Regions from separate parts of the Mus musculus genome. Here regions 2, 3, 4, 5, 6 and 7 are each reported to be linked to region 1. The links are microRNA targets in miRTarBase. Many come from high-throughput screens and were not tested one by one. Region 1 holds a microRNA gene; each other region holds the end of a gene's coding sequence.
What was found. Region 1 holds the annotated microRNA mmu-miR-34b-5p (AGGCAGUGUAAUUAGCUGAUUGU, at 2,130-2,152, opposite strand). A microRNA usually pairs through its seed, bases 2 to 8, with sites in the 3' UTR of a target mRNA and lowers its output. Matches are read on the target gene's strand: a 7mer-m8 pairs with bases 2 to 8, a 7mer-A1 pairs with bases 2 to 7 and ends in A, and an 8mer does both.

Region 2: miRTarBase lists Nemp1 as a target of mmu-miR-34b-5p. Seed matches in the 3' UTR shown: 7mer-A1 at 2,395-2,401.
Region 3: the mRNA of Cyrib is a reported target of mmu-miR-34b-5p. The part of its 3' UTR that is shown has no 7-base or 8-base seed match.
Region 4: miRTarBase lists Ppp1r16b as a target of mmu-miR-34b-5p. Seed matches in the 3' UTR shown: 8mer at 1,213-1,220.
Region 5: the mRNA of Adipor2 is a reported target of mmu-miR-34b-5p. Seed matches in the 3' UTR shown: 7mer-m8 at 2,590-2,596 and 7mer-m8 at 1,866-1,872.
Region 6: miRTarBase lists Vcl as a target of mmu-miR-34b-5p. Seed matches in the 3' UTR shown: 8mer at 1,458-1,465.
Region 7: miRTarBase lists Neurod1 as a target of mmu-miR-34b-5p. The part of its 3' UTR that is shown has no 7-base or 8-base seed match.

What each region holds. Positions count from the first base shown.
Region 1 is chr9:51,101,481-51,105,547 of GRCm38, forward strand. Mir34b (microRNA 34b) reads right to left here and starts at 2,165; the gene lies at 2,082-2,165. Hoatz (HOATZ cilia and flagella associated protein) reads right to left here and starts at 598. Exons shown (of 6, transcript NM_177702.4): 1 at 265-598. The coding sequence starts at 490. It overlaps Mir34c (microRNA 34c), which reads right to left and starts at 1,630; the gene lies at 1,554-1,630. It also overlaps a transcript of Btg4 not described here.
Region 2 is chr10:127,695,605-127,699,671 of GRCm38, forward strand. It overlaps Nemp1 (nuclear envelope integral membrane protein 1), which reads left to right. Exons shown (of 9, transcript NM_001113211.1): 9 at 624-4,067. The coding sequence ends at 789. Among named protein-coding and RNA genes, the nearest start is that of Myo1a, 7.6 kb to the right of the region's middle.
Region 3 is chr15:63,928,020-63,932,086 of GRCm38, reverse strand. Cyrib (CYFIP related Rac1 interactor B) reads left to right here. Exons shown (of 13, transcript NM_001360036.1): 13 at 408-2,993. The coding sequence ends at 471. Among named protein-coding and RNA genes, the nearest start is that of Gsdmc4, 18 kb to the right of the region's middle.
Region 4 is chr2:158,761,136-158,765,202 of GRCm38, forward strand. It overlaps Ppp1r16b (protein phosphatase 1, regulatory subunit 16B), which reads left to right. Exons shown (of 11, transcript NM_001159662.1): 11 at 219-4,067. The coding sequence ends at 728. Among named protein-coding and RNA genes, the nearest start is that of Fam83d, 4.9 kb to the right of the region's middle.
Region 5 is chr6:119,352,039-119,356,105 of GRCm38, forward strand. Adipor2 (adiponectin receptor 2) reads right to left here. Exons shown (of 8, transcript NM_001355692.1): 8 at 1,112-3,890. The coding sequence ends at 3,762. Cacna2d4 (calcium channel, voltage-dependent, alpha 2/delta subunit 4) reads left to right here. Exons shown (of 38, transcript NM_001033382.3): 38 at 1-369. Among named protein-coding and RNA genes, the nearest start is that of Lrtm2, 23 kb to the left of the region's middle.
Region 6 is chr14:21,031,029-21,035,090 of GRCm38, forward strand. It overlaps Vcl (vinculin), which reads left to right. Exons shown (of 21, transcript NM_009502.5): 21 at 559-2,648. The coding sequence ends at 705. It overlaps Ap3m1 (adaptor-related protein complex 3, mu 1 subunit), which reads right to left. Exons shown (of 9, transcript NM_018829.4): 9 at 2,714-4,062. Among named protein-coding and RNA genes, the nearest start is that of Ap3m1, 19 kb to the right of the region's middle.
Region 7 is chr2:79,450,231-79,454,297 of GRCm38, reverse strand. It overlaps Neurod1 (neurogenic differentiation 1), which reads left to right. Exons shown (of 2, transcript NM_010894.3): 2 at 1-1,661. The coding sequence ends at 334. Among named protein-coding and RNA genes, the nearest start is that of Neurod1, 4.4 kb to the left of the region's middle.

The sequences.
Region 1 (4,067 bases):
GAGCCACCATGTGGTTGCTGGGAATTGAACTCAGGACCTCTGGAAAGCAGTCAGTGCTCTTAACTGCTGAGCCATTTCTCCAGCTCTAGAATGAATTTATATGTAACAATGAGATCCTTTACAGTGGAGAATTGCAGCAGTTTTAGAATTGTTTGTGTATTTGCATATACCTATTACTGCCTGTTTCTGCTTGTTTGTACTTCTCAATTGACTGACAATTAGACCAGGCAGTTTCCCCTTCCAGGAGGTAGCCTTGCTACTCACCTCTCAGAACGACTTTAGAGTTCCGCGCCACCGGTAGCCTCTGACTGCTGCCTCGGGTCAGCACGAGCTGAGATTCGGTAGTGGGGTACATGGACGCCCCGAGCCAAAACTGCTTAGCCAAATTGGCATCCTGCTCAGAGCAGCCGGTGAACACCAGTAATCCAGGGGAGCAGATTTCCTGGGATTCCTTCCTGCCGCTAGGACAGCCTCTGGGCCCCGTTTCCATGGTGACTCAGGACGCTTTCCTTAGCTCTGGCGTCCCGCCCCTACCGGAGAACCGTCCTGTTGGTAACTGCCACCACCGGAATGCCTGTGTTTCTTCTTCCGTAGATCTGGGGTTCCTCGAGGGCTTGTGGCCCATCAGCAGCTGGCTTCTGTCGAGGTCACAATTTTCGGGGCCAGTCAAGCCTTAAGAGTAAAAGCCTCAACTTTGTGATGTGTACAGTCCTGGACTGTCTCTTAGATCCTCAGCCAGCGTCTCCTCCTCCCCCAGATAGCCCAATAATGTGAGCTTTAAAGAGCGCCTTCCTCTTTTGGACAAGATTGCCAAGGCTTCGCACTCTTACCTCTGGGGAAATTCTCAGGTTTGCATTGATACATCTGCATAAAGCGCTAATCTAGAACTGGGCCGAGAAGTACCGGTGGATACAGCTTGTGTGATTTAAAACCTCTCAAATCTTTTATTACAGATATTAGGAAACCAGCTGGTTTTAAATCGTGTTCACTAATTATTCCCACGAAAAGTTGCCTAGAACGCAACTGTTAATACCTTAAAAAATATACCTGGTTAAGTGGGCTGAGTTCCCTTGCCCCATGGAAAATTATGAAAACATTTAACGTTCCCTTCCAGGTCACAATCATGTGTGAGACGTTTCCCTGGAGATTTTGTCTGTATAGCAACTAACCATTTAATGACTTTACGGGGTTGACAGGAGCTGAAATGGAGATCCTAAAGCCAGTTTTTGGAAAGGAAATGAACACGATTGCTGAGATTTTCGTGGCGCTTTATTTTTTAGAGTGTTATTAATATGTCAGGCAAAGTCCAAAGATTTATAATCACAAGTCAATATAATGACCAAATCAGCTAAGGGATAATTTCTATTTTTCCAATATATCTAAAAATCACAAAAAATGTACCCCACACAAATTGATACATTGTATACTTAGCAGCTAAGGGCTAGCGGTTCCCCCCCCCCCCCCAAACCACTAATAGTATGGTAAGAATATTTCCCTATGGCTCTGTCCTCACCAAAATGACGATTCACAGGAGGCTCAGTCGGAGGAATTTCAGTCTTTTTACCTGGCTGTGTGGTTAGTGATTGGTACTATTAGCAATCAGCTAACTACACTGCCTAGTAACTAGACTCAGAAAAAAGCATGCAGTCTTTAGCTGGTGCTCTCAGACTTTGGTGTGACCAGAGCAAATCGTCAGCCAAGCTGTGGTTGACTCTAGTCGCTGCCTTGGTGATAGCTTTCTCAGAAGTGGAAATCAGGCAGTGAATCACAGCAGCAGCAGGAACTGTTCTGGGGGGGGGGGGGGGGGGGCTCTTCCTGGCCTTTTTTTTTTTTTTTTTTTTTATGTTAAGGCCGGTGTATACCGATTCTCTTTACACATCACTGAACCGTTTTTGCTCTGGCTCTTACACACAGGTAGCCGAACGGTCCCTAAAGGAGGCCGCCGGTCTCCGAGGGTTACTTGCACTTAGACCTCGTGCTCCCGGCCCTTTGCTGACGCATCCTGGCTCCGGCCTCGGCTTTCTGCGGAGTCAGTGGGGCTGCAGCGCTGGCTTCTCCTCCCGCGGGCGGCGGGTGATGCTGTGCCTTGTTTTGATGGCAGTGGAGTTAGTGATTGTCAGCACCGCACTACAATCAGCTAATTACACTGCCTACAAACCGAGCACCGGGCGCCCGCCACTGCAGCTCCCGAGGGTCGGGCCCCTCGCCCCCTTTCGCCACGGTCGACAGGCGAGGGCGGCGGAGCGAGAGGTGCCTCAGGCTCCCGAGGCCCCTCCACACCCAGCAGGGCCGCGCGCGACCCCAGGTGAACCCCCAGGCGCTGAGGCCCCCTGTCCCCGCCGTCCCCCCCGAGACCCCCGACTCAGCCCGGACCCCAGGGCATCCGGCCCGAGTCCTTCTTCCCGCAAGCCGGGTCTGACCCGCCTCCAACAACTTCTTCACGGCTTCCAGACCCAAGTCTAGAGCCGGTTCTGTCCAGCCCGCGCGCCCCGCAGCTCCTACTGGCCGAGTGACCGTGGCTCAGCGACCAACCGCCCTTGGAACCCCGAGGCCGAGGGGGCGGGGCGAGTGGGGGAGGGGTGGCAGAAGCTACCAGAAGGGGCAATGGGAGGGCTCCTGCAGAGCCTCCTGGGAAGGGGCCGGGGAGATGGAGAGACAGATTCTTGAGAAGTTTATCTTCACAGTGTAGTTACTGCTACATCGAAGAAAGAAGCGCAGAGACCTACATCCATCTCTCCTTCCCAATATATTGCCCAAGAAGCCCCAGGCCTCCTCACTGTTCATATGCCCATTCTCAGAAACCGCTTCCCAGGCGTCTCATCTGGAGCCTTCCTGCCTGAGCAGGCCTGGGCACTCATACCTGCAGGATTGCCCTTGCCTGTACCCAAGTTCTTTCTTAGGACTACCTCTTACAGGGCCATACAGTGAAGTGTGGGCCACTCTTCTGGTCAAACATTGAACCAACACCCTTGTTGGTAGGTCAAAGTTGTGGCCCTTATAAGATCAAAGACACAGTTTTGATGATCTCCCCGTGAGCCTTGAGGATATCTAGTCTCACTTTGGGCTCCTGTTTTATTTAAATGTTACAAATCCAGCACCTAACAGGCGTTTGTCTTACTACCCATCAGACAGTCTAGGTGGTAACAAAATGTGAACACATTATTTATTACTCCAGACAGTATAAAGTTGCTAAACTGATAGATTTTCCTAATAGAAAAAAACAGGTATGGGTGGGGGTGGGAGGTGTGCCAACAAGAGCTGACAGACACCATCATGGAGGAGGTGAGAGTTCAGGTAGATCCTTGAAGCAAGGGTAGATTTGGACATTAAGGATGAGGTCTGTAGAAGCCCGAGAAGCCATATCTTCTGTCAGTTACATTCCCCTTGTTTTTGCTATTTTATATCTGATAACGGGGTGCGTGTTTGTGTATATTGGGAATAGGAGGCGCTGAGGGGACAGCATTTCTGCGCCATCTTCACTAATATTTCTTTCCTTTAGTCTTTCCTCTCCTTTCCTTTAATTAATTGAGCCCAGAGAGGATATACAGTATTCTCTGATTGCAAACTTTGTGGAATTCAGTAGGAAGTAGCCGTCCCAGACTGTGGTCTTCCTGTATGCTGTATGACACCCATTTGTATTGATCCAACAGTCTTGCAGTCTACAAAGGGACATTTCTTAGCTATACACTGATACCTGTAAGCCCAGCAAATGGTCTTGTAGATGCCACTAATTACATGAATATATGCCAATCATCAGGAACATTCAACACAAATTCCAAGTGGAAACCATTAAAACCCAAGAACTTCCCAAGAATAAACTTGTGTATATTTTAACATTATCTTTGAAAGTAAAAGACAATGTTTTTTTCCTTCAGAGTCATTGTTTTATGAAGGCTTAAGTGAAAGGAAAATGAAGTAGAAAATGCCAGATTATTATAAAATTAACTTATGAAAGACATTTGTAAATAACTATCTTGTATTCAGTCTTCTTGTATTTGAGAAAAGTATAATGTATCCTACAAAAGGTCATTTAAACGTTCAAATATAAATAAAAGTAGTAGAAATAG
Region 2 (4,067 bases), not on the chromosome of region 1:
TTCCAGATAACAGTGTTGTATTTTGCCCTTTGATTATTGCTCACCTAGGAGCAGTAGTCAAGAGAAAGTAGTAATCTATTTCTTGTTTCCCCAGGCAGCTACCTCACTGTTGGGGTTATATCACTAACTTGTGAAGACTTCAGTACCGTATTTAAGTGTGGCCCTTGTGTGTTTGACGTTAATGTCTGAGTCCCCACCCCCACCCCCACCCCCCTTTGGTTGGGAGCAGTTGTACCAAAGAGTATGTGAAGTTTCAGTTTGGAATCATGATAGCATAAAGTTTATAGGGCCATAAGTGCAGAGAACTGTAATGCTCAGTCTCTTCTTATCAGGTCTATGGTGACTCAGGGAACCTTAGCACTTCGTAACTACCCAGGACAAGGACAGCGTAGTTAGTGCCAAGCAGGACGAGAGTGCCCAGCATGTTGGCCTGGGATCCCAGCCTTGCCTCGTGCCTAGTTCTTGCTTCAGTCTATGCATCTGCCGAAGCAAGGGCAGGACTTTGTTAAATTCGGTATAATTTGAACTACAGGCACACTGAGCCTTTTAGTCTGTTCTTATTTTGAAAGCCGTTCAGGAAGGACAGACGTGCGCTTCCTCACAAACATCCCTCTCTTTTGCAGATTTGCTGACTTTGTGGAAGGTTCTTTCCACCTCACGCCAAATGAAGTTTCTGTTCACGAACAGGAGTATGGATTAGGGAGCATCTTTACCCAGGATGAGGAGCTGTCCTCAGAAGAGGAGGGCTCAGAGTACCCCACTTTCACACAGAACAATTTCTTGACTTAAATAGCAGTCTGTTGTTTTCATATAGACTGGCATGGTACCTTGGTGTGGCCACATTGTAAGTGCTGTGTGATTCTCCCAGGCTTTTATAAGAGCCTGGAGCGGGTGCAGGAGTTCTGCTGGAATGAGGGGCTGAGTGGGTTACCCTCTGGCAGTACTTTTGGTGTGTACCTCAGGCTGGTCCTCTTCGAGGAAAGAGTGGCGGAGGCACTGAGGGCTGCGGCAGCTCGCTTCTGACATTTGAGCACTTGGCCCACTTTGCGGTTCCTGAAGTCATTGTTTGCCCACAACAGTCTAGCTCCTGTTTAAAAGTTTGCTGAGTTCTGGCAACTCTGTCACTGTGACAGACCCTTAAAAATGAGTATTAAGTGCAGTAATGCATTCAAATGGAGGCTGCATCTTTTAAAGAGAATCTATAAGTCTGAGCCATTTTTTACTTCTGTCTGCTCTATTTCACTGGATCCTTATAATAATCCTGAATGATTTAAATATTGAAGAAAAAATAGATTGTTACCTATCTTGTTTTTTAAACAAATATATTTTTTTAAGTGCAAGAAAGTCATGTTCTTTACCCAATAAGTGCTCCAGAGTACAAACCCTACTGACCCCAGATATTTATTACCTGTGAAACCCCTGGAGCTGCTGCTGTTGAGCCTTGAATGCTCACAGTCTGATTTTTAGTTTGCTTGCATTTAGGAGAACGTCTGCTGCCCTTCTGTAGGTTTGGTTTCCTAAGCTTTTTATTATATTTGATATTGGCTTTTTTTCTTGCCGTTTCTCACCATTGACTTTTCCCACTCAGGAATGGTGTGTCCCCTTTCCTGTAGAGTGTGCACAGTTGAGAATTTGTCTCATTTGCCGCTGCCTTCTTCCTAACACTGAGGTTCTTCCATATCTCCTACTGTGTACCTCAGACTTGAGAGTCCCTGAGCATCTGGTATTTCTGTTTTGACTTTTCCTTCTGGGTTGGGGCCTGCTGCTGTACCTCAGGTTGATCCTTTCACCTTCGCCTTTACACTGCTAGAATTTTAAGCCTGTGCTGGTATACCAAGCTTCTTTTTTTCTTCTGTTTTGGTTTTCGAGACACATTTTCTCTGCATAGCCCTTGCTGTCGTAGAACTTGCTCTAGAGAGCACATTGGCCTGGAACTCACAGAGATGCCTCTGCCTCTGCCTCTGCCTCTGCCTCTGCCTCTGCCTCTGCCAAAGTATGTTACCACTGGCTGGCATGTCAAATTTCTTGTTTCTTATATATAAATGTTCCCCTTACCTTGATTCCTACATTATGGCTAGGCAGAGAAGTCTTATTTACACCCTTCTCCCCCCTAGTCAGATCACATACCTTCTGAGTTACTATAGTCAGGAAACTGTTCCAGGGCTGGGCATATAGCTCAGTGGTAGAATGCTTACTGGTTCAGCATGCAAGGCCCTGATTGGGTCGCTATCGCCACAACAAAATCAACCTTATCTCCTTGTTCCTTGTCTTCTTTTTATGTACTCATTCTATTCATTCAGCCTTCCTAACCACCAGCATGCTCCCAGATCTTATCATTTATAAGCCCTAAACAACCATCTGTTAAGTTTCTTTCTATGCAATTTTAGTTTTGTAACTGCCACGCTTTTCCACGGCAGAGAACAGACCTTCAGGTGTACTGCCTGCCTCTGGTGCCCATTCAGCTGTTAGCATCAGCTACATCCCCTGAGTTTACTCTACTTACTTACAGTTCCATTTCTGTAGAGACGCTGCCTCTGCAGTGATGTTAGCTTCCGAATCCCTTGCCTTTGCAGATCTCTTAGAAGCTGGCAGGATCATTTACGAGGGACAGACTCTCAAGTTTCTGCCGTTTGCTTGGTTCTTTCATTGTGATCTTCACCACTGCACTGGAGGAAGTGTGTAATGTGTGTAATTCCTTCAGCCAGGGAGGTCGGTGCTCACTCAGGAATACAGCATCAGACTCATTGTCTTAGGATCATCGAGGAGGAAGGTGGTATTTTCAGGAAGCTCTTAGGGCTTCTTCAGACCCGCTTTTAACATGTAATTTTGGAAGACCCTGGGCTTTACTGCTAGCATCCAAAATGTCAGCTGAGACACCTCTCCAGGTGGCCAGTTAGTTATTTCAACCAATGTTCCCCATAGCCTTAAATTGTCCTAAAGTGACAACTACCTCACTTGGTAGAAGGTGACAGAAAAATGAGCAGTATCTGAGCTGTGGTTAGAGCTGCAGGGTATAAGAAACTTTGTAACGGAACCTTTTTGTCTTTGTGAATTATAAATACAGTAAAATTTGTCTCTTTTCAAAGAACTTGAAGATCCTGAAGAGGTGGGAATGCACCTCAGAGGCAGTAAGTGCTTGTCCTGGGGGTGCAGGCTGGCCACCCCCCAAACAAAGCCCACCACTAACAACAAAAGCCTTCAGAAATTTATACCTAGTATATTTTACTGTAAACTCAGTTATACAATTTTTGTAGGTCTTGGGAGACCCTCATGCCTGTTTCCCCAAATCACTCCTTACGGATGGTAGCTTGCTAAAGGGGAGGAGGCTCTTGACTTCTTATTTTAATGAGAATTCACTGTAAGTGACTTTGCTCTTCTGTGGGTTGACTCACTGTGAAAGACAGATTTCTTTTCAAGGCCATTTTTTTTAAAACTGTATTTGAATTTGGGGCGAGCAAAGCAAGCTCATTTTCTTACCCCTGCCTGGTAGTTGGAGAAGTGAATGCTGAGAGAGCTGCTTCAGACAGTGAAGGACAGACGGTGCCTCTTTTGTATGCTGTGTATCCTTGGCCTGCCTGCCTGCCTGCCTGCCTGGGTGGCTCCGCTGGATGCTTCTGAGCCTCTGCGTGCCCAGACACTGCTTGAGTCAGCTCAGTCTCATCCCTCAGAATGAGCTCATCAAGGACCGAGGGAGAAGTGGAGTGAGCTGGACACTGGAGCCATGAGCGCTGTGTGCCAGCAATCATCGATCCAGAAGCTGGTTCCAGGAGTGGGGGTCTTGATGGTATTGGAAATGCATTGCTTCTAATGGGTCTGACCTGAGTTCATAAAACATGACTCCCGTTAATGGGAACATAAGAGGCAGCCGGCATACAACTTTACAGTTTTCCTTTCCTTATGAGAACATACTGATCAAAGCCAGGAAAAGTTTAGCAACTTTGATAACTTGGTTACCTTGAAATGAGAAAGAGCCAGTTCCCCACCCACATTCTTGTTTTCTCAGCAGAGGGTGGTTTTGTCTGAGATGGCTCTTTGGGTCCCACTGTTCCATTTTACCATATGACCGC
Region 3 (4,067 bases), not on the chromosome of region 1:
AGGCTGGTGTTGTATTATTTAGAGTCAATTTGATTTCAAAATTGAATATTTCATCTTGTTGAATTCATTTTGAGTTTGGACTTATACGCTTATTCAAAGTGTACCTACCCTGAAATAAGGTACTTAGAGAATGTAAGTATTTCAAGGTACTGTTTTTATACAGCATAGAGTAAAACATAGCGAAATTGTTTCAGATTTTTGGCTAATCATTTCAACGAGGTCCCTATAACCAAGTGACCAGAAACTGGCTGCTCCTGTTGGATGGGGGAGAGAGCCTGATCAGGATTAAAACTCACCCTAAGGCATGAATTTGTGATATTGAGTGATCAGCTACTCATCTTGGCATATTACACAGCCCATACAGACTTTCATTTTCCAACATTGTTCTCTCTCTCTATTTTGTATAGGTACACAACAAAACATTTGAATGATGAGACTACCTCCAAGCAAATTAGGTCCATGCTGCAGTAAGAGCTGTGGAGCAAGCCCCTACTGCAGATGGAGCACACAGTGTTCTTCAGTGACCGAGAATGCACAGTCTTAGTGAATGCCATCAAATCTCCTTATTCTTGCTTTGGTTTCTTTCCTCTGTTCCTCTTCCCACTTTTTAAATCATGTTCTTGTTCTTAAGACTTCTTTTCTGTGCCAAAATCAGTAAAGTTATACTTTGAAAGGGATTTTGTCCTTTCAAAACAGGCCATCTAAGGCAGCTAATTACGCATTGCATTGAGGTCTCTACTGAGAAAAGTTCTGTGACTTGAACTAAATATTTTTAAATGTGGATTTTTTTTGAAAACTAATATTTAATATTGCTTCTCCTGCATGGCGAAACTGCCTATTCTGCTATTTAAAACCCTCATAAATTTATTTTCTACTGCCGCTTTTTCATGTGCAGCCAAAATGGAAATGTTTAAATTAACTGTGTTGTACAAATGGTACCCAACACAAAACCTTTTTTAAATTAGTAAGACTTTGTTTAAAGTTTTAAGTTTGCAGGTTGACTTTTTTTTTAAGGTTGTATGTTGTGTGTTTAACATTTATTAACTAACGTTAAAAACTGTGATGTGTGCGTAGAATATTACGTATGCATGTTCATGTTTAAGAATGGCTGTTGATAAAATAAAAATCAGCTTTCCTTTTTCTAAGTGTGGCTTGGTTTACTGAGGTTTCTGGAAGTTTTCCCTGTATATATTTCTATGGAATGCATATACACATTACATAATTTTTCTTTCTCTTAGGCAATAGCTATGTCTTTTTCAGTTGTTTTGCTTTACTTTTTGTCTATGTACATAAGTTAGACTGCTTTTAAAACTGTTGTGTATAAGATGACCAGTGATTGTGTCGACATTAACTTGACTTCTGTTCTGATTTAATCTTTGTGAGCGTAGTCATAGAAGGAAACCCGTACTTTCTCAGCTCTCGGTTTCAGGAATGAAAGGGCGGTGACAGGAAGCACATGGTGTCTCGAAGGCACGAGGAGCCCTTGACATTGGAGGAGAGTGAGCAATAAGAGTACTTCCAGAGGAAATAAATGAAAGTCCGAGATCTCACTGGTCGTAGGAAGTGACATGAGTTACAATTTAAAATCATAAAGCCCAAGGCAAAGAAATGTGTCTCAGTTGAGAGAAGCTGCTTGAAAGTTGTCGAATTCAGCCTTGTCAGGGACTTAATGACAAGGTGACCTGAGGTGGGACACAGTTAAAGTGCTTAACCATGGGAGATGATCACAGGCTGCCCTCTGGACCCTCTCCATCAGAGCGCCAGATTGTGGTGCACACGGCACTTGATGGTAAAGTTCCTGTTGACCTCTCTGGCCTCCTGCTTACTCGTGTTCCACTTCCTACCCTGCTCTCCAGCCAAGCTTAACTACTTGCTGTTTACAGATTGTTCCGTGTGGTGTTGCTTCGTAACTGATCTGGCTACAACCTGAACCTGGTCTTCCTTCTTCTCTCCTTCATGTTTGTCTGACCAACACCAGCTGTCATCTTTCAAAAATCAGCTTCTTTTACTTCCTCCAAAAACCATTTAGATGACATTGGCCATGTCTTCCAGGAGGCTTCTACAGTGTTATAATGGGTTTAATAGTTTACTCCATAAAGGGTAATGTCTGGAACCTGTACATATGGCCTCATTTTGAAGAAGGGCATTTTCAGGTGAATGTAAGGACCTATGTATGTATGGCATCGTCCTGGATGAGAGTGGGTCCTAGCCCTACTGACAAGTCCTTTTAAGAGAAAAGAAGGGGAAACAAGCAGTGGAGGTCCTGGGAGGATAGAGGCAAAGGTAACATCATATCTTGAAATTTCCTGGACCACAGAAGCCAGAAGAAGGTCATGGAACACTTTCCATCAGAGTTTCTAGAAGGAAGCGACCCTGTTGCTGTTTTTATTTCAGACTTCTATTATGATGAAAAAAATAAGTTTCTATTCTAAGCCACCTAGTTTGTGGTAATTTGTTACAGTCAACTTAAGCATTGAATACAACTGTCTCACAAAACAGCCTGATACATCACTACACTTTTATATCTTCTCTGATACTCATGAGAAGTTACAATGTCTAGATGCTGCAGAGACTGAGAACCTGAGAAGAGCCATGTCTTATTCCTTCAGTGTCTCAAGCAAGGATCTTGCATAGTACCTAAATATGGAGAGCTGCCAAGTGAGTAATTGAATGGAGTGAGTGAGGACTGATAAATGAAGTAGATGTAGTAATCCTGCTGTGGCCTTTCAGGTAACATGGTTCACACTCTGCATGTTGAAGATTAAGTTGGCAAAAAAATCTTTAACTCTAGCCTAGGGGTCAGTAGCCCAGTCGGTGGGCCAATTCACCTCCCTCTGGACCTACACAACCTGTGAATTAAGAATGATTTTTAAAATGTCGGGAGAATAAAGGATAACAAATGTTTTTCTAAAAGTTGAAAAATATTTTGTAGCATGAGAAAAGTATATGAAATTCAAACTCCAGTGTTCATAAATAAAATTTTATTGAACATAGCCTCATTTGTATATATATATTATTTATGGCTATTTGCTCATTATAGCAGCATTGAATCAAATTGTGACAAAGATCTTTTGGCCATCAGAGGCTAAAGTATGTTCTGGCCCTGTATAGAATTTGCCAGTCCCTTTCCTTGAGAGAAGACGTTGGTTTGACAGCCTGGAGTAATAGGGCACACTGCTGCAGTGATGGAGGAGCTGCTGCTGGGCAGTGAGCTCAGCCTCAGGTCTGCTAGTTTCCATTCATGGAATCCAAGAGGCATGTGGGCATGGTCATCATTTTTTTTTCTCTGCTTAAGAAACTGCCTTTAGAGTGAGTGATTCTGTGGCTGGGCACAGCACAAGCCTCAGCAAAGGGTCTGCGTGTCCACTGTACAGAAGTTGACCCTGCTTTGCAGATACTACAAAGCTTGCCTCCTTTTGCCCCTCTGCTTTTCTTAAAGGATGTTTCTATCAGCATATATCCCAGCCTACTTTTGGACCATGTGCTCCTGGTTCAAAACAGGGTAAGCTACCATATCTTCTAGCAAAGCACACTCGTGATTATCTTCATCCTCTCCTTCAGTCCCTGTCATGGATGCATGGTGCTTTCAACTTCCATTTGCTCACTTCACAAAGATTTAGATTAGCATTTTGGGCCACCAAGATGGCTGCAAGTATTTTAGGCTGATGAAGATAATTGGCATCTGTGTGCTCAAATCTTAAGTTTCTGAATTGAAGTACTTTCTTAGATTTGAAATGCCTTTCTGGTTCTGTTTGAGATTTCAGTAACTGGCATGCCAGAAATTCTTAAATAGCCCCTCAACTGAGTGTGTAATCACAGACGACAGTGGAAAGACTTGTGGGTTCAGAACCCTGAGACCCAAGATAGCCCTGCACAGGAATAATTGACCCCAGGCCACCAGGATGTCTCAAAAGTCCTGTCAGCAAGGTCGTAACATGGTGAAATTACAAGGTTTATTCAATGAGCTTGAGTGCATTCAGCACTTGGTGTGACTTTGGTTAAATATCTTGTCCCAAAACAAGAAACAGTATTTCTTTGGAGTGGCCACAAGAGGTCATCTAGTCAAA
Region 4 (4,067 bases), not on the chromosome of region 1:
ATAAAATATGCTCATTAGCCGAGCCTGGAGTCACACTTCAACCCTGGGAGTGGGATAGGCATTGGTCTGCCCTACCATACAGAGCCTGGTGCCCCAGAGCTACATAGGAGTAGAGAAACAGGTAGAGATTGGGTGTCCCTCAGCAGAGGTGCAGGTAGCTGGTGGGTACAGACCCTCTAGCTGAACGATGATACTGATGCTATCCTCTTGTCCCCCAGAACCCCAGGCTGGAGAAGCCCGTGCTGCTCTCAGAATTCTCTACCAAGATCTCACGGGGAGAACTGGATGGGCCTGTGGAGAATGGCCTCCGGGCTCCTGTCAGCACTTACCAGTATGCGCTGGCCAATGGGGACATATGGAAGATGCACGAGATGCCTGACTACAGCATGGCCTACGGCAACCCTGGCGTGGCTGATGTCCCCCCACCCTGGAGTGGCTTCAAGGAGCAGAGCCCCCAAACGCTCCTGGAGCTGAAGAGGCAGAGGGCCGCAGCCAAGCTGCTCAGTCACCCATTCTTAAGCACCCACCTGGGCAGCAGCGTGGCCAGGTCGGGGGAGAGCAGCAGCGAAGGCAAGGCCCCCTTGATTGGAGGCAGAACTTCCCCCTACAGCAGCAACGGGACCTCGGTGTATTATACAGTCACCAGCGGAGATCCCCCGCTCTTGAAGTTCAAGGCCCCCATGGAGGAGATGGAGGAGAAAGTTCACGGCTGCTGCCGGATCTCCTAGTGTCCTTGAACTGGAGGAGAGAGCTGCCTCGGAGAGGGGCCCCTGGAATCCAAAGCCGGTCCAACAGCTCTGGCTGGCGAGGTGTCGGGGCAGCCGGGGAGAGGTGGGATCTGCTTTCTAGAGGAATGCTGACCTTACCTCATGCCCAGCCGCCCATAGCATCTCCACTCCCTTCTGTGCTGCTTCCTTGCCTCACTCAATGCCTGCACCTGAAGTATAGCAGGCCGACTCACTCTGCAGTCTGATTCAGGAAGGGTGGGCCTGGGATCTCACTTCTGCACTTGGTAAAGGCTTCTTAGGACCAGGAATATCAACTCCCTACACACACACACACACACACACACACACACACACACACACACACACACACACATACTCAATTTAGTGTATAAGGATGTTACACCTGAGCTCTTGGGAAACAAATGAGGCTAAGAACTTGTGGGTTATCCCCAGAAAATGAATGAGTTCAAGACAGTCTTGGCACCACTGCCAACTGGCTTCCACTGGGGAGAGGCCTGCTCAGCGGAGACCCACAGCTCTGAAGTCATACCAGGCTGGGTCACTAGCACACCTAGCAAGAGACAGGAAGTCCTATGGGTTCAGGGAATCCGGGAATCCATACGGATCAGGTTAGTGGGCCCAGGCCTGCTCCCCACAGCCTTGCTGAGAGCTGTTCTCATACATATGTCAATAAGAAAGTGGAGAGTGTTCAAAGGTCAAACAGGAAAGCCAGGCCATCCATGCTTCTGTGGGAGCACAGGAGTCGGGTTGGGTGCAGCACATTGGTATTTTCCAAACTGTGTTTGGTAAAAGCGTTCTTTCAGGCTGTAAGATCCCAGGTGGGAGGTTCCTGAATTTGCCTTCTCCCAAGATAGTGTCACACTTGGGTTTTATTGTCTGGTATTTGAGAAATGAATTTCATCAGGAGCTTCCGTGGGGCTAGGGCTCCCAGGGAGAAGGTGAACGCATTGCTGAGAACACCATGGTTAACATTGACATAACAGCATCCTAGCCGGTCTTTGTGGTTTTCCTGCTGTTTTGGGCCAGCCCATCTCAGCCTGGCCTTCTCAGCCTGAGCCATCCCATCTTTCGGTTGAGGCTTGCACCCTGCCCTCCCACCTAACAGGATTGAGTCTGCAGAGTGAATGCTCAGGCCCACGCCCCTTCAAGCTTTGCCTTTTCTGTAATGTTGTGTAAGACATGTTTGCCAAGTGTCACTTGTCGGCTCTTGCCAGGAGGTCTCAAAGCTCCCAGCCTGCTGCTTCTGGAGTGGTCATGCCCAAAGCTGCAAACTGAGGTGCCCGCGGCCACCATCCTGTGCTGCATTCAGGAGAGCATGGCGTGGCTGGAGTTGGCTATCATCCCAGCTGTACAGCTTTGCTGCCCCTGTCTTCTTGATGCTGGGAAAGGAAGCCCACACCACATCACCACCATGCTATCCCACAAAACCGTTGAAATTGTGCCCCGTACCTTGAGTGCGACACACTGGCTCTGCCAAAACCTTCTGGTGTAACTGGCAAGCTACGAGTTGGTTCCTTGCTCCGTGCTCTTTTTATTTGTCCTCAAACTACCTCCTTAGAGCCCCAAGAGGGTCCCCACGTCATTCGGATGTATGGGACAGATACTTCTTTACAGCCCCCTATGCCATACCCTTAGTAGGTAGGCTTGCCACTTGTTGGTCTCTGTCTCCACTGTGGCCTCAGGGCCTCAGTAGACTAGAGATGAATCAGGACCTGACTAGATCTGCAAGATGCTTTATTAGAACCAGGAGTGTGGGCCAGAGAGCACCCTGAAGGCTGCTGGATGCAGAAGGAGGTGCACAACACTAGGTCATCTCCACCCCAACTCCAGGACAGATGGAATCCGGCATGGTGCAATAACATAAGAGACTAAAGACAGTTTCTGGGATCCCTGGGGGCTCAGCTAGGCTCTGTAGCCCATAGCTGAAAGAGGAGATGGTCAAAACACACACCTGTGGCTTTAAACATTTAGCTCTGACAGACACTGAAATGCCTCTGGAGATGATTTTAGCCACAAGGTGGGCAGTTGCCCAGGCAGCCAGCTACATACTCTTAGGAGTCAGCTGCCCAGGGTTTCTGAGCTCTGTGCTCAGGGGCCAGAGAATGAAGGCATTTATTGCCATCTCTGAGCCATTCAGGCCATCTCTTCACACCCAGCACTTCTTCCTGCCTCCTGGACCGTTCTTCTCTACCTGAGGGGTGGGAAACTCGGCTGCCTCCTGCATGGGAGCTAGTCCCAGACGGTGTGGACTCATGGGCTTTTGTTCATGTTTTCCACTAGGGATAAACAAATGTTCCCTGTTCAGGCTCCAAGTCCCCAGGGCACTTTGTGACTCTTTGGAATATTGAGAGTCACAATGAGGAACAGTCTCCAGCGCATGAGCCAGGGCCACCCACCCATTCACTCATGTGATCGATCTATTGAGGTGCTGAGACACACCCGATGCGCTGTTAGTTTCAGCAGATAATGGACTAACCTGGCAGTGAAGACTTTGATCTCTTGAGGACCGTGGGCATCCCCGGACTCATCTATTATTCTAATCAGAGTGCCTCCATGCCAGACCAGTGTCCCCCGTGCTTTGCCGCACCTGCAGTTCTTAAGAGTGTGAATCTCTTTATCTGGGAGACAGCTTTCTGACCACTCCTAGATAACATTTGCCACTAAGTGCAGAGGCTAGATCTCAGGTACCAGGCAGACATTATACAGGTCCATCTAGATAGAGCCTTCAGAGGTAGCCTTCAGGCCAGCATCCATGGAGAACAATACAACAGCAGTCTAAGGTCAGTGCCTGGAAGAACCAGAAGTCTGCAATTTGCTGTCAAATACATCCCTAGCATTTACAGTCCTCTCCTGCTTGTTTTTTGCTCATGAATCATACAGTCTTCTCCCCTACACCACCAATGGGTGTTGGGAGGGAGAACAACTACTTCTCTTCTTTTTTTTTTTTTTTTTTTTTTTTTTTTTTTAAAGATTTATTTATTTATTTATTATATGTAAGTACACTGTAGCTGTCTTCAGACACTCCAGAAGAGGGAGTCAGATCTCATTATGGGTGGTTGTAAGCCACCATGTGGTTGCTGGGATTTGAACTTCGAACCTTCGGAAGAGCAGTCGGGTGCTCTTACCCACTGAGCCATCTCACCAGCCCACTACTTCTCTTCAAATTAAACATTTCCATGTGTGTCAGCCTCTCTCCCTGGAAGATGTGGATCCAAGGGCTAGGAGAAGCCTGGCAAGGTTGACCAGATGGCTCACTCCTACTGAAGACATCTATTTCCAAACCAGGTGCCCTGCAGTTCCCTGTGAGCTGTGGTTCCT
Region 5 (4,067 bases), not on the chromosome of region 1:
CCATGGACACCAGGTATCTCCCAAGGTGTGCCTGCCTCTCAATTCTGAGACTAGTGCCGCCAAAGGACATGTAGGAGGATGGCCAAGACATGACGTGGCAAGCTAAGCCCTCCTCAGTGAGTGATCATAACTCCACCAAGACACTGGAAGACTGCAGTCTGGATTAGGTGAAAGATCTGGCACCTTGACTTTAGAGGAATGAAGTTGGCACCCCCGAGATTAAATGAATGGAATGCAGCATTCTGGCATCTTTCCTTATCTGTGTTGCCTTCAACCACAAGAGCTGGAGCCCTGTCAGAAGCACCAGGAATGTGCCGCTGAGCTTATGTGCTAGAGTAGAACCACCTCAAATAAAAGGCTTCAACAGCATTTTGTGATGCTACGTCAAGTTTTGGTTCAGGGGACATAGTAGTGACCACATCCTAGGGTCAGAAAAGCAAGCAGAGAGGTTGAGAGGGGCTCAGATATAAAAGAGCAAGGGCTCGGCAGCTTCCGAAATACTCTTTATGGTGAACCATGCATCAGGAAGGCTGTAAAAGGTAACCTGACAGGTGAGAGCATATGGAACCAGGGAAGGTAATGAGTCATATCCTACGGCAAACAACAGGATGAAGCAGATGTGCACCTGCCTCGTAATTCTGAGTCTAGTGTGGCCATAGGGCAGGAGGCTGCAGCCTGTCTCCCTCAGTCGTTTCTGAGGGGCCCAGCCATGGAGCACTTAGATTGGGTGTGGGGAAGTATCAGATGGCTTGTGCCCAGTAAGGCTGTCCCTGGGCTACAGCAGCACCACCCTGAGGGTTTCAAGTGGCTTGCAAATGGAGCGGACAAAATACAGGGGCCCAGTGCATGTGGTCAGGTTCCACACAGCCCTGAGGCCTTGATGGTCACTTTAACCAGGTATAGAGAAAGCTCACCTTTTTTAGACAAGGTCTGTGTAAGCCCAGTCTAGCCTTAAACTCATGATCCTCCTGCATCAACCTCCTGAAGGCAGGAAGTTTCTAAAAATTCCCTAAACTTCCTGACTAAATTAGGATATTAAGGATATCCCAAAAGTGAGGTAAGTTTTTAAAGGGGGGGGGGGGACAACAATAAAAAAAAAACACAACAAAACTCATTTTCCATTTGGCTCTTTTTATTAGAGAAATCAAGAAGACAGCAAGTAGGGAAATCCCCATAGTGAATGGAACCATCACAGAGATGCCTTTCTGGAACCCCAACCTTCTATGATCCCCAAAAGTGTGCTTTGTGATTTCAGCAACTTATAGAGGGGAGAGAGGAAATACTGAAAAAGGCCACTATTTAATGATGAGAGAGTGAAGGTGTACAGGTTCCTAACCAGCCTAGGGCCAAAAAAGGAGACTGAAACGTGTGCGCAGAGCAAGCGAGCCTCAGACTGCTGAGAGTAAGGCATTCAGGTGCCAACCTGGAAAGTTCCCGGAGGCACCACAAGGTCAAGTGCACATGGAGGCTGTTGGTAGTGAGCTGCGCAGACATACAGGGCACACACATGCCCACACACACACACCGAAGGGAAGTTACTGGACTACAGTGGTGGTGGTGATTCGGTTCCCTAAGAGTTTGTGCTATGTTGAACCAGAGTCTCCCTGCTTTGGGAAGAGGGATGACCAGTCCCAAAGACCTCTACTCCTGTAGGTGTCATGAGGAAGCGTCTCAAACTCATGTCCCAAAGTGCACGACCAGAGAGTGCGTCTGGCTGCTGATATGTGCTGTTGCTACCACAAGCCTAGGTGAGCTTCCTTCCGGATGGACACTGTCTTGATGAACTGCTTCTTGAGGAATTAACACTGTTCTTAGTTGTCTGGCACAATGCTGTTCACCCAGAGCTTCCTGTTGGGCCTACCTAGGGCAGTGACCTTATCCACAACCCAATACTCTGAAGTTCTTCCCAGGTTTTCAATGGACTCCTTCCTGGGTCCCAGCTGCAGCTGGGTGGCGATCTGAAGGTAGAGGAAGGACAACGACGACCAAGAAAACACTACTGTAAAAACAGGACCTCCTCATACTGCCCAGCACCCCTTTTGGGATGCCCGAGGCCCATGTTACACTGCAATACCCACCAGCCCCAAGGAGTGAGGCCTAGAGTCTAAGAGACTCAAGTGCTTGGTTTCTCACTTAGGAGCCAAGACCCAACTCACTGCCACTCTCTAAAACCCATAACAAGAAGGCCCTAGGACAAAGAAATTATTTGTAACTTCTAGCAGCAATTCAAAATTGTGGGTTTAATTCTATCCGACTACCTGGTAATAACAGTCCACTTCCTTTTCAACTCTGTAGCACAGGTCTTGCAAATGGCATTCAGTGCGTGCTAACAACTCCACAGTAGGTATTACTGACTTTCTTGTTCAACGGGAGAAGAATCTGTTGTCATGCCAAGCCTGCCAAGCCTGCACCAGAGAAAAGCGCCACCATTCCTAGTCCAAGGGATGGTCCTCCACACCTGCCTGCATGACTTCAGGTGGGACCCATGCTCATCAGAATCTCACTAGTGGCCGGCTCCACGAAGGAGCTTTGATGCTGGGGGGGGGGGGGGGGGGGCAGTTTTTGATTTCCAGGAGGAAGGACAGTTAGGGCAGTGATTCTCAATAGAGCAAAATTTGCAGAATGGCTCAGAGCTCCACAGAGAGGGTCTGGAAAATGGCCATACCTCTATTCAGATAAGAACTACCACCTGGTCAAACGAGACACCAGGGAGAAGCAGACCATTCCTATGCTGATGCCCCCAGGTCCTCCTCCCCTTCATCAAGTCTCTACTACATCTACAGTAGAACCAGGTGGCTTCACTCTTCAAAAGGGTCATCACTAGCCTACATAACAGTCTCCCAAATGACACTTTCTCTAGAGCCACTATGACAACCTGTGCTGCTTCCATTGAAAAGCACACACGACTTCCACATCCCTCCCCCTCTGAATGCCCAAAGGCTCTCAGTCTTGAGAGTGGCCAGGAAGTTCCTGGGCTGGGGCTGTCCACTCTGCCCCAGCAGGGTCCAAGTGTTATCGGCCTAGGGAAGGCACCTTGGTGCACCAAGACATCGTGCATTCTGGGGCTACCACTCCATCCTCCTCCCATCACTTGTGCAAAATTGAAACAGTGTGTGGTACTTGCATGTTTCATTCTTTTTAAAAAAAGTCTCCCTCCCTCCCTGCCCCTATGTCTTAAATGTTTATATAAATTCTTATTTAAACAGTAAATTAGAAATCTTATTTACATTAATTTCTTTGTTCTCCCAAAGGAGTGCCTAAAACCGCACTCCCACCCCTTTATTGGATACAAATGTTCCCCTAACTTGGTTGTGATTACTGTTTAAGGAGCTCCAATGGCACGATCAGTTGGTGCATGGTACTCATACATGTTACTGCTGCAAGGAGCAAGGAAGGGAGAAGAAAGACCACCAACTAAACTGTTTCCCCATCTTCTACAAATAAATACGATCACATCAGAAGCCAGCCTGTCAGGCGAGGGTCTTGCAGAGTTGCTTTCAATCGGTAGATCCCAAGAGGAAGCCAGGGGATGAGCCATTTCTCCTTCTCTCCTAATCGATGCATTCCATCCTTTGAGGTATGATTTATTTTTGTTTTTCTCTTCTTAGTCTTGTACCCCATGGAGCCCTTGGGCCAACACAAGGCCCATGAGGCTGTCCAAGTTTTGGGGCTTCTCTGGCACTGGCACCGACAGCCAGTAAGAAGGCCTGCAGGACCTGCAGGCCTGGCTCAGGGTCAGAGTCCCTGGTTCCTGGAGAGTATCACAGTGCATCCTCTTCAGTGCAGCCCCCGCCAATCATGAAACGAAATTCCTGCAGGTTTGAGACTCCGTGGAAGTGAACAAAGGCACCAGCAACCACAAAGATGTGGAAGAGCTGATGAGAGTGAAACTGGAGAGAGAAAAGAAAGCCACTATCACTAAGCCTGCTAACGGTCAGGTCCCCAGGAAGTAACAATTCCAGGAAGTAAGGCACACTGCTTCCCAGCTTGCTCGGACAGTGGGAATGCATGGGATACAATTCAAATTCAAGGTGGGTCCCTCAAGTTCTCCTGAGTCAGAAGCTAGA
Region 6 (4,062 bases), not on the chromosome of region 1:
GGGTCGATTAGCTTGATTATTTTCATTCATTGCTTTTGAAATGCATCCTGTACTAAATAGTGGAGAGCAGTGAAAAAACTAACAAAAATCTCTGCCCTATGGAGCTTAAAGAATACAGACAGATAAATTAAACTAAACTACCCCCTCCCCCAAACACCAAAAGCAAATGCCAACTAAGAAAAAAACTCCCACCCCCAAGCAATCTAGGTATAATATATAGCATAAATTTATGATGGATTTTATGAAGAAAAATATCTTCAAGTAAAGAATGCTTGGACACTGGAGGGGGAGTCTGGCATACTTGGAAGAAAAGTGTTACAGGTAGAGGACATAGCAGGAGTCCTAAAAGAACACCACCTTTCAAAACCAGTGCATGCTGTCAGCCATACAAAGACACAGTGCAGTCATTGATATACAAGCCAAATTGTATAAACATTGCTGTTTATGTAGTTAAACTACTGGTGGAGCAGGGGGATCGGGTATAGGGCTTAACTGCAGCCCACTCCTGGCAGCGAGTGCTGCGTTAGGGGCTATAGTAACAGGGCTCTCCTATTGCAGGCCACAGAGATGCTGGTTCATAATGCCCAGAACCTCATGCAGTCTGTGAAGGAGACTGTGCGAGAGGCTGAAGCTGCTTCAATCAAAATCCGAACAGATGCTGGCTTTACTCTGCGCTGGGTCAGAAAGACTCCCTGGTACCAGTAGGCACCTCGTCAAATCTGGCTGGTACATACACCTCTGCTAAAGAGAAGAGAACCATCTTGAGTTCCAGAAGCCATTCAGAGTTGTCAGGAATGGAAACATCAATCCCTGGCTTCACACACCAGAAAGGAACATTTATACTCTTGTCATGGGCACTTTGAAATGTGTCTCTCTATAAACCCTGTACTTTCAGTTACTATGCGCACTCTCTCCCATGGATTTTACAGCAGCTCAGAATAAGCGTGAACACTAGCCGGAAGCCCTGCTCTGCCCCGGGGGTCATTTCTGTGTTTACGGTTCACCAACTCCCTTTCCCCACTATAGGCTCTCAAGACCTAGAGCTGAGGCAAGTCTAAATAACTGTGCTTCCAAAGTTATTTTGGGTTTCCCCCCCTGCTGCTGACCCTGCCTACCTTCTCTGGGCTGTGCATCATTGCTGCAGGAAAAAGTGGTCTCTGGAGAGTTCTAGCTTGTGCGGCCTGGATTCATTTCCTGCTTTCTCCCAGTGTAACCCTAGTTCCTCACAATGGGAAACCAACTTTCACTGTTGTGAGGAAATCATTATTTCTGTTTTTACCATGCCACTAACTAGTATGTGTTATGGAAACTTCCTGTCTCACATCCTGCCTTGTTTGGTTGCCAAGGTAACCATCCTGTAAACACACTGGTGCTCTGTCACTAGAGGAACAGAGTCACTGGGGTGTTATCCTGCCCATCCTCCCAGTGGGGCCACTCCCAGATTTTCTATGCTTTGTCACTGCCAGTAGATGTCTGTGCTGAGGCCTTGGCATTCATTCTTCGCCCTTATTTTCTTTAATTTCTGAGCTGAAGTGCTGCATTTACTTTTAACCAAATCATCCTAGGCTTTGGCAGTCTTCTTCTGTATGCTTCTTTAAACAAGACTTTAAAGATACATAGGTATGTGTTTGTCTGTAATCCCTCCATCCCCCACTTTTTTCTTTTTTTTAAATTTTGAGACTGGGTCTCTTTATGTTGTCCAGGCTAGTCTTGAACTTATGGATTCAAGTGATCTACCTGTGTCAGCCTGTTAGCTCCTACCACCACACTTGACTTTGCTTGTAACTTTGAAAGGTTCATTCAAAATTGAGACTTAAGAATTAGGGCTTGCTCCTTAAGAGACTTGAATGGAAAGGCAATCTTGTCTGGGAGACTAGCATTTGCAGATTATACTTCTGGTGCTTCTAGGGAAAAATCAGTAGGAACTATTATAGTTCCCAGTTGCTTTTAATCAACTACAACCAAGCATTTTTCATCCTTCCATAAATACGAAGTATTCAAGAATAATGAGTATGGTATCTATTTATCAGAAAGGCATGTTTCCTATTGGGCAAAGTTAGTGTAAAAGTGACTTTCCTTTTTTTTTGCATTTATCCTGGCTGTATAAGCATTTCCCAGTATACAAATGCTTCTTTCAGAAATCAGGAACCAGACGAATACAGGAGTGAGGCCTTCTTCCTGGATGTTCTTCCCACATCTAGTATGTCCAATCCCAACACTGAACTTGTAAATCTTAAGTTGACCCTGAATACTCAGGCTCCCCCTATTTCTTTTTGCTGATAAAAGATTCTTTTCAAAGCTCTCAGCAGATCTGTATAGTTGCTTACCTGATATAAATGCATATCAATGCCTTTAAAGTATGAATCTATGCCAAAGATCATTTTTTGTCTTACTAAAGATTTCTTAGAGGAACTAAGAAGAATCATGTTTATTCTCCAAGTTCCTTCAGTTCTGGAGACACATGTCCACCAGATGTGCTTTCTAGTGTCAGTGCTTACAGTACAAGGAGGCAAAAGGAAACAGTCCCTGAATGACGTGTTAGAGATGCCACCACTAAAAACTATGTTTATAAGCTAGGACTTATATGTAAATGTTTCTGCCTCTTCTTTTGTTCTGTTTAAAACAATAAAGTACATTTATATGAATAATGCTCTAATTGAGGTTATTTTACTAACAACTTTAGGTCAGACTTATTTTGTATTGAAGCTAATTCTCAAGGTCTGGAAACCAACAGCTTTATTCAATCCATAAAGGAGTTATATAATAGTGTAGTTACGTAAGAGGGTCTGCGTGATCAAGAACAATCTTGGCAACAATTCTAGCTAATGTATTCTTATACATTAGAAGGAGAAGAAATCACAAGTTACCAGTGGGCAAAGCAGCCAAATGTAGGTCACCTCCTGGCTAGAGACACCCTAATTTTAGTAGAGACCACCAGTGTCCCTTAAAAAGCTGAAGTTGTGAAATGTGAGGGACACTTTTGTTTGTTCCCAACCCCAGTACATAGCTATGGGTGTGAGGCAGAACTAGCTTTGAGGACATAGTCCTCCTCTTGTTTGAGGAAACACTGACTAAAATAAAAAAACAAACAAACATGCTTTTTTGCCTAATTTTCTAGAACTGAAGAAGAAAAAGAAAAGGTTAAATAATACCACAGGGTAAACTTTCCATTGCATTGACTTACAGAATGGATGGCAGCCTGTGTTCACGGCTGCTGAATAGACTTGGAAATCCCTGCAGCCTCTATTTGCTGTTCACCTTGTTCACCGGAACTGTGTGCCGCAGACTCTGCAGTTAGTTGTATTTTTAAGCAGTTGCTTTTAAGGACAACATTACCAGCATCTTTCCAGTGTTCTTCTGTAGCACCTTTAGGAAATGAGGCTACCAGCCGAATTCCACTGGGGGGTGGGGGTGGGGCTACCTCACCCAGACAATAAGTATCTGTTTTATTTACTCTTAGATTATGATTTCTTAAGAACAACAGAAAAAAGGAGAATATGGTGGCTTACCCAGAACTCTGTTTAAAAAATCTTTTGATACTGGGTTTTCCTGGGTCTATATTGAAGTGGTAAGGAAGATAGCTTTGATCATTTTTATCACGTGGTCTGTTACCAGAAGATGAATGGTTGTAAATATGCTCTATTCAGGAAGAGGCCTCTTCAATGTTCTTCAAGCAACTGTAACATTTTATGATACAGAAGAAACTGATCCAGTGCAGCCTGCATTAATACAGCCTGAATATGAGAATATTCCATCAACAATCAAACTTTAAAAATCATTTGGTTGCTCATATATTTATTGACATGATAGCCAGAACTAGAGAAAGGGCTTATTAGGGTCTGTCAAATTAATAAATACAACAATTTAACAGTAAAAGAATTCAGTCTGCTTAGCTACTTTAGCAGAAATCCCTGGAGACAAGAAACTTAGACAAGAAGATGCACAGGAAGGAAGCTGTGCGGTCTAGGTATGGTCGTGAGATAAAGGATGGTGAAGAACTAAAACTTATGTGCTTGCTTTTGAGGTAAAAGAACAAGATACTAAAACTAGAACTAGATCTTA
Region 7 (4,067 bases), not on the chromosome of region 1:
CGCCTACAGCGCAGCTCTGGAGCCCTTCTTTGAAAGCCCCCTAACTGACTGCACCAGCCCTTCCTTTGACGGACCCCTCAGCCCGCCGCTCAGCATCAATGGCAACTTCTCTTTCAAACACGAACCATCCGCCGAGTTTGAAAAAAATTATGCCTTTACCATGCACTACCCTGCAGCGACGCTGGCAGGGCCCCAAAGCCACGGATCAATCTTCTCTTCCGGTGCCGCTGCCCCTCGCTGCGAGATCCCCATAGACAACATTATGTCTTTCGATAGCCATTCGCATCATGAGCGAGTCATGAGTGCCCAGCTTAATGCCATCTTTCACGATTAGAGGCACGTCAGTTTCACTATTCCCGGGAAACGAATCCACTGTGCGTACAGTGACTGTCCTGTTTACAGAAGGCAGCCCTTTTGCTAAGATTGCTGCAAAGTGCAAATACTCAAAGCTTCAAGTGATATATGTATTTATTGTCGTTACTGCCTTTGGAAGAAACAGGGGATCAAAGTTCCTGTTCACCTTATGTATTGTTTTCTATAGCTCTTCTATTTTAAAAATAATAATACAGTAAAGTAAAAAAGAAAATGTGTACCACGAATTTCGTGTAGCTGTATTCAGATCGTATTAATTATCTGATCGGGATAAAAAAAATCACAAGCAATAATTAGGATCTATGCAATTTTTAAACTAGTAATGGGCCAATTAAAATATATATAAATATATATTTTTCAACCAGCATTTTACTACCTGTGACCTTTCCCATGCTGAATTATTTTGTTGTGATTTTGTACAGAATTTTTAATGACTTTTTATAACGTGGATTTCCTATTTTAAAACCATGCAGCTTCATCAATTTTTATACATATCAGAAAAGTAGAATTATATCTAATTTATACAAAATAATTTAACTAATTTAAACCAGCAGAAAAGTGCTTAGAAAGTTATTGCGTTGCCTTAGCACTTCTTTCTTCTCTAATTGTAAAAAAGAAAAGAAAAGAAAAAAAACCAACAAATTGCACAATTTGAGCAATTCATCTCACTTTAAAGTTTTTCCTGCTCGCTCCCTAAAATAGAAACCAGACCCATAACACTCAAGAGGATGAAAACCGAAATGCATTCCTTATCAAAACACATCAATTCATTACTTGCACAAGCTTGTAAATACATATTATAAATAAATGCCAACACACACTCCTTTAAATCAAAAGCTGCTTGACTATCACATACAATTTGCACTCTTTCTTTTTAGTCTTTTACTTCTTTGAATTCCATGATTTTACGGAGTGTTTGAAGATATTGATGTTTCCAGAAAATATAAATGCATGATTTTATACATAGTCAAACAAATGGTGGTTTGTCATCTATTCATGTAATAAATCTGAGCCTAAATTTATTCAGGTTGTTAATGTTGGGTTTTTATACCTGTGTAGTCAGTTAGTACAGTAGTTTAAATAAAATTCAAACCATCGAATTCATAATTAGAACAATAGCTGTTGCATGTAAAATGCAGTCCAGAATAAGTGCTGTTTGAGATGTGATGCTGGTACTACTGGAATTGACATGTACTGTAATCTTGTTTGTAATCCTGTGTATTATGGTGTAATGCACAATTTAGAAAACTCCCATGCAGTTGCAATAAAAATAGTATGGAAAATCAAAACAATTGTTTCATTTCTTTCGAAAGTGGATTTTAAAGAGTAAAATTGTAGCGAGGAGGATCAACGTCTGTATTTGCTGAGTTAAATGTTAAACATTAGGAATAAAATATAGAGTTGAGCTTGTCCTGTGCTTAGTCTGTTATCTTGCTTAGAGGGTCACTGGCTTCTCAGATAACAAACAGACCTCGCCTCTGTTTTATTATTTGGAGTATTGAGCACAGAGTAAGCTGGACAAAAAACTCTGGTTTTCTAAAGGTGAAACGTCTTCACCTTTACTCTCTTTGTTTGTTTGTTTGTCTCTGTTTGTTGAAATGATTGTTAGAAGTTTCTTTTATTTTTCAGGCGGATTTACTTAAGTATTAACTAGCAAGACATAAGCAAATACCTTAGTTTAATTTGTTTATACATATTTAAAGCATAAACAAAATTGAATATTTTCTCACTGTTCTGTTATCTGTATCTTTCCTGAACTAGATAGCTTTCTTTCAAACAGTCCTGCACTCCAAACTATATATCTGATATTGTAGGAAAATTATTTAATTAATTGAAAGGCTCCCAAAAGATGAGGCATTTTATAATGGTTCTATTAAGTGTTTGGGATGTCTTCACTAATTGTTCCACTAAAGTGCTAGTGAGCTTTTGGTACATAAGTATATACTATTTGTGTTCTATTTTAGGAGTGTATATTACTCCACAGTTTTCTGTACAGTCCTGCTATTTTATATTTTGATTTTATAAACACACACACACACACACACACACACACACACACCACACCACACCACACCACACCACACCACACCACACCACACCACACCACACCAACTTAACTTCTGGTAAGTCTACTTAATAAATAGTTTGGCATTTCCCTTCCCATGAGAAATGACTGACAGTCTTGATTTTTATGGAATAGCATTTTGGCAGTTGTATTGTCTCTACTGTGATTCTGATTGCTGTCATTGTTCCTTCTCTGATTCGGATACCACATTGGATGCCTACCTCCCTTGCAAGCATGTTCCTTTAATCTCCTTCTCGTTGGTGGCTTAAGGGTTCCAGAAAACTGACCTTATTTAGTAAGCTGCTCCAGAAAAACGTGAGTAATCTAATAGACAGGAACAATTAGCCATAGTAATAACGTTGCCAACGAGGCCCCATCAAGCTGTGACAGTAGCAGTAAGGGATATTTCAACATTCAAAAAAATTAATGTAATTTAAAATAATGTTTTCTACCAGCCTTTATCACACACAGAAATACATTAAAGCTGGTCCCAACTTTACCCCAAATGTAGTTGTCTCTTTCCAAGTGAATCAGAGCAGTTATTTTGGAATCAAGCTGTTGCTTCCTAGCCTGGATTTTTCTCACCATTGACTTTAGGAGACACAATACTGATAGCAGAATCCTTCAGCCTCCCAGCACAGGAAACCATAAAGTGAACATTCAGATCTGATCTGATCTATTAAGCAGCTCAGTTTCACCTGTAATTAAAATTAGACATCTCCATGCAAACTAAAAACTGTTGCTAGAGTCAACAGAAGAACCAAGGGTGGTGTTTCTAGAATCACAACATTTAAAATGGGAAGCAAAAGAATCTAGACTATGGGTTTCATTAGAGGTAGGCGTGAAGGATGAAGGCTCTGCTTCACTCTTTTTCTTTTTCATTTTGTGTGTGTTTAAAATTTCACTCTAAAGGCGTAGGGATTCTTTCAGTCAGTCAGGGAGTAACTCACATGCCACCATCTTTTATTCAAAGGCAGGCACAGATGTTCCTTCTGCAGGGAAGGTTTTAATTTATGAAAATGATATTGTTTATGCATGAATGAACTGCATGCACCCTGCATAACGCATAGCACTTCCATCTGATCAGAGAAATACCACCAAACCAGCGCCAATGTCAGAAACATATTCTACACATTTACTCACTCAAATGTTTAATGAATATTTGGAATGCATTTTCAAACCATAAGAAATCTTTTAAATTATCTCCTTCATTTCTTTTATGAATTGTTAAGCACATTTTAAAGATACTTTTACAGTCTTTATGTTTGCTTAATCCTTATGTGAAGCTAATAAAAAACAGTTTTTTTTTTTTTGTGAAAACCAAGAAAAGAGGGGGGGTGAGCTGATAGCTTTGGACCAAGAAAAATATTTCATGTGGTTTGCCTATGTGGTGCTTGATATAATATTTGGGTTCTATATTCTTGTTCTTCGTGAGCAATTGATGTTCCTATCCTAGAAAATACAGCTTTGTAATATTAAAACACCTGGAAAACTTATTTCTAGAAGAAGCTGGCAGATTATTTCATAGTAGGAGAGGAATTTTAGTTAAATATTTTAACTACTGTATAATTCTTATAGAATAGGACTACTCCATAAAATTTAAGTTTTATTTTTATCAATTTCAATGTTA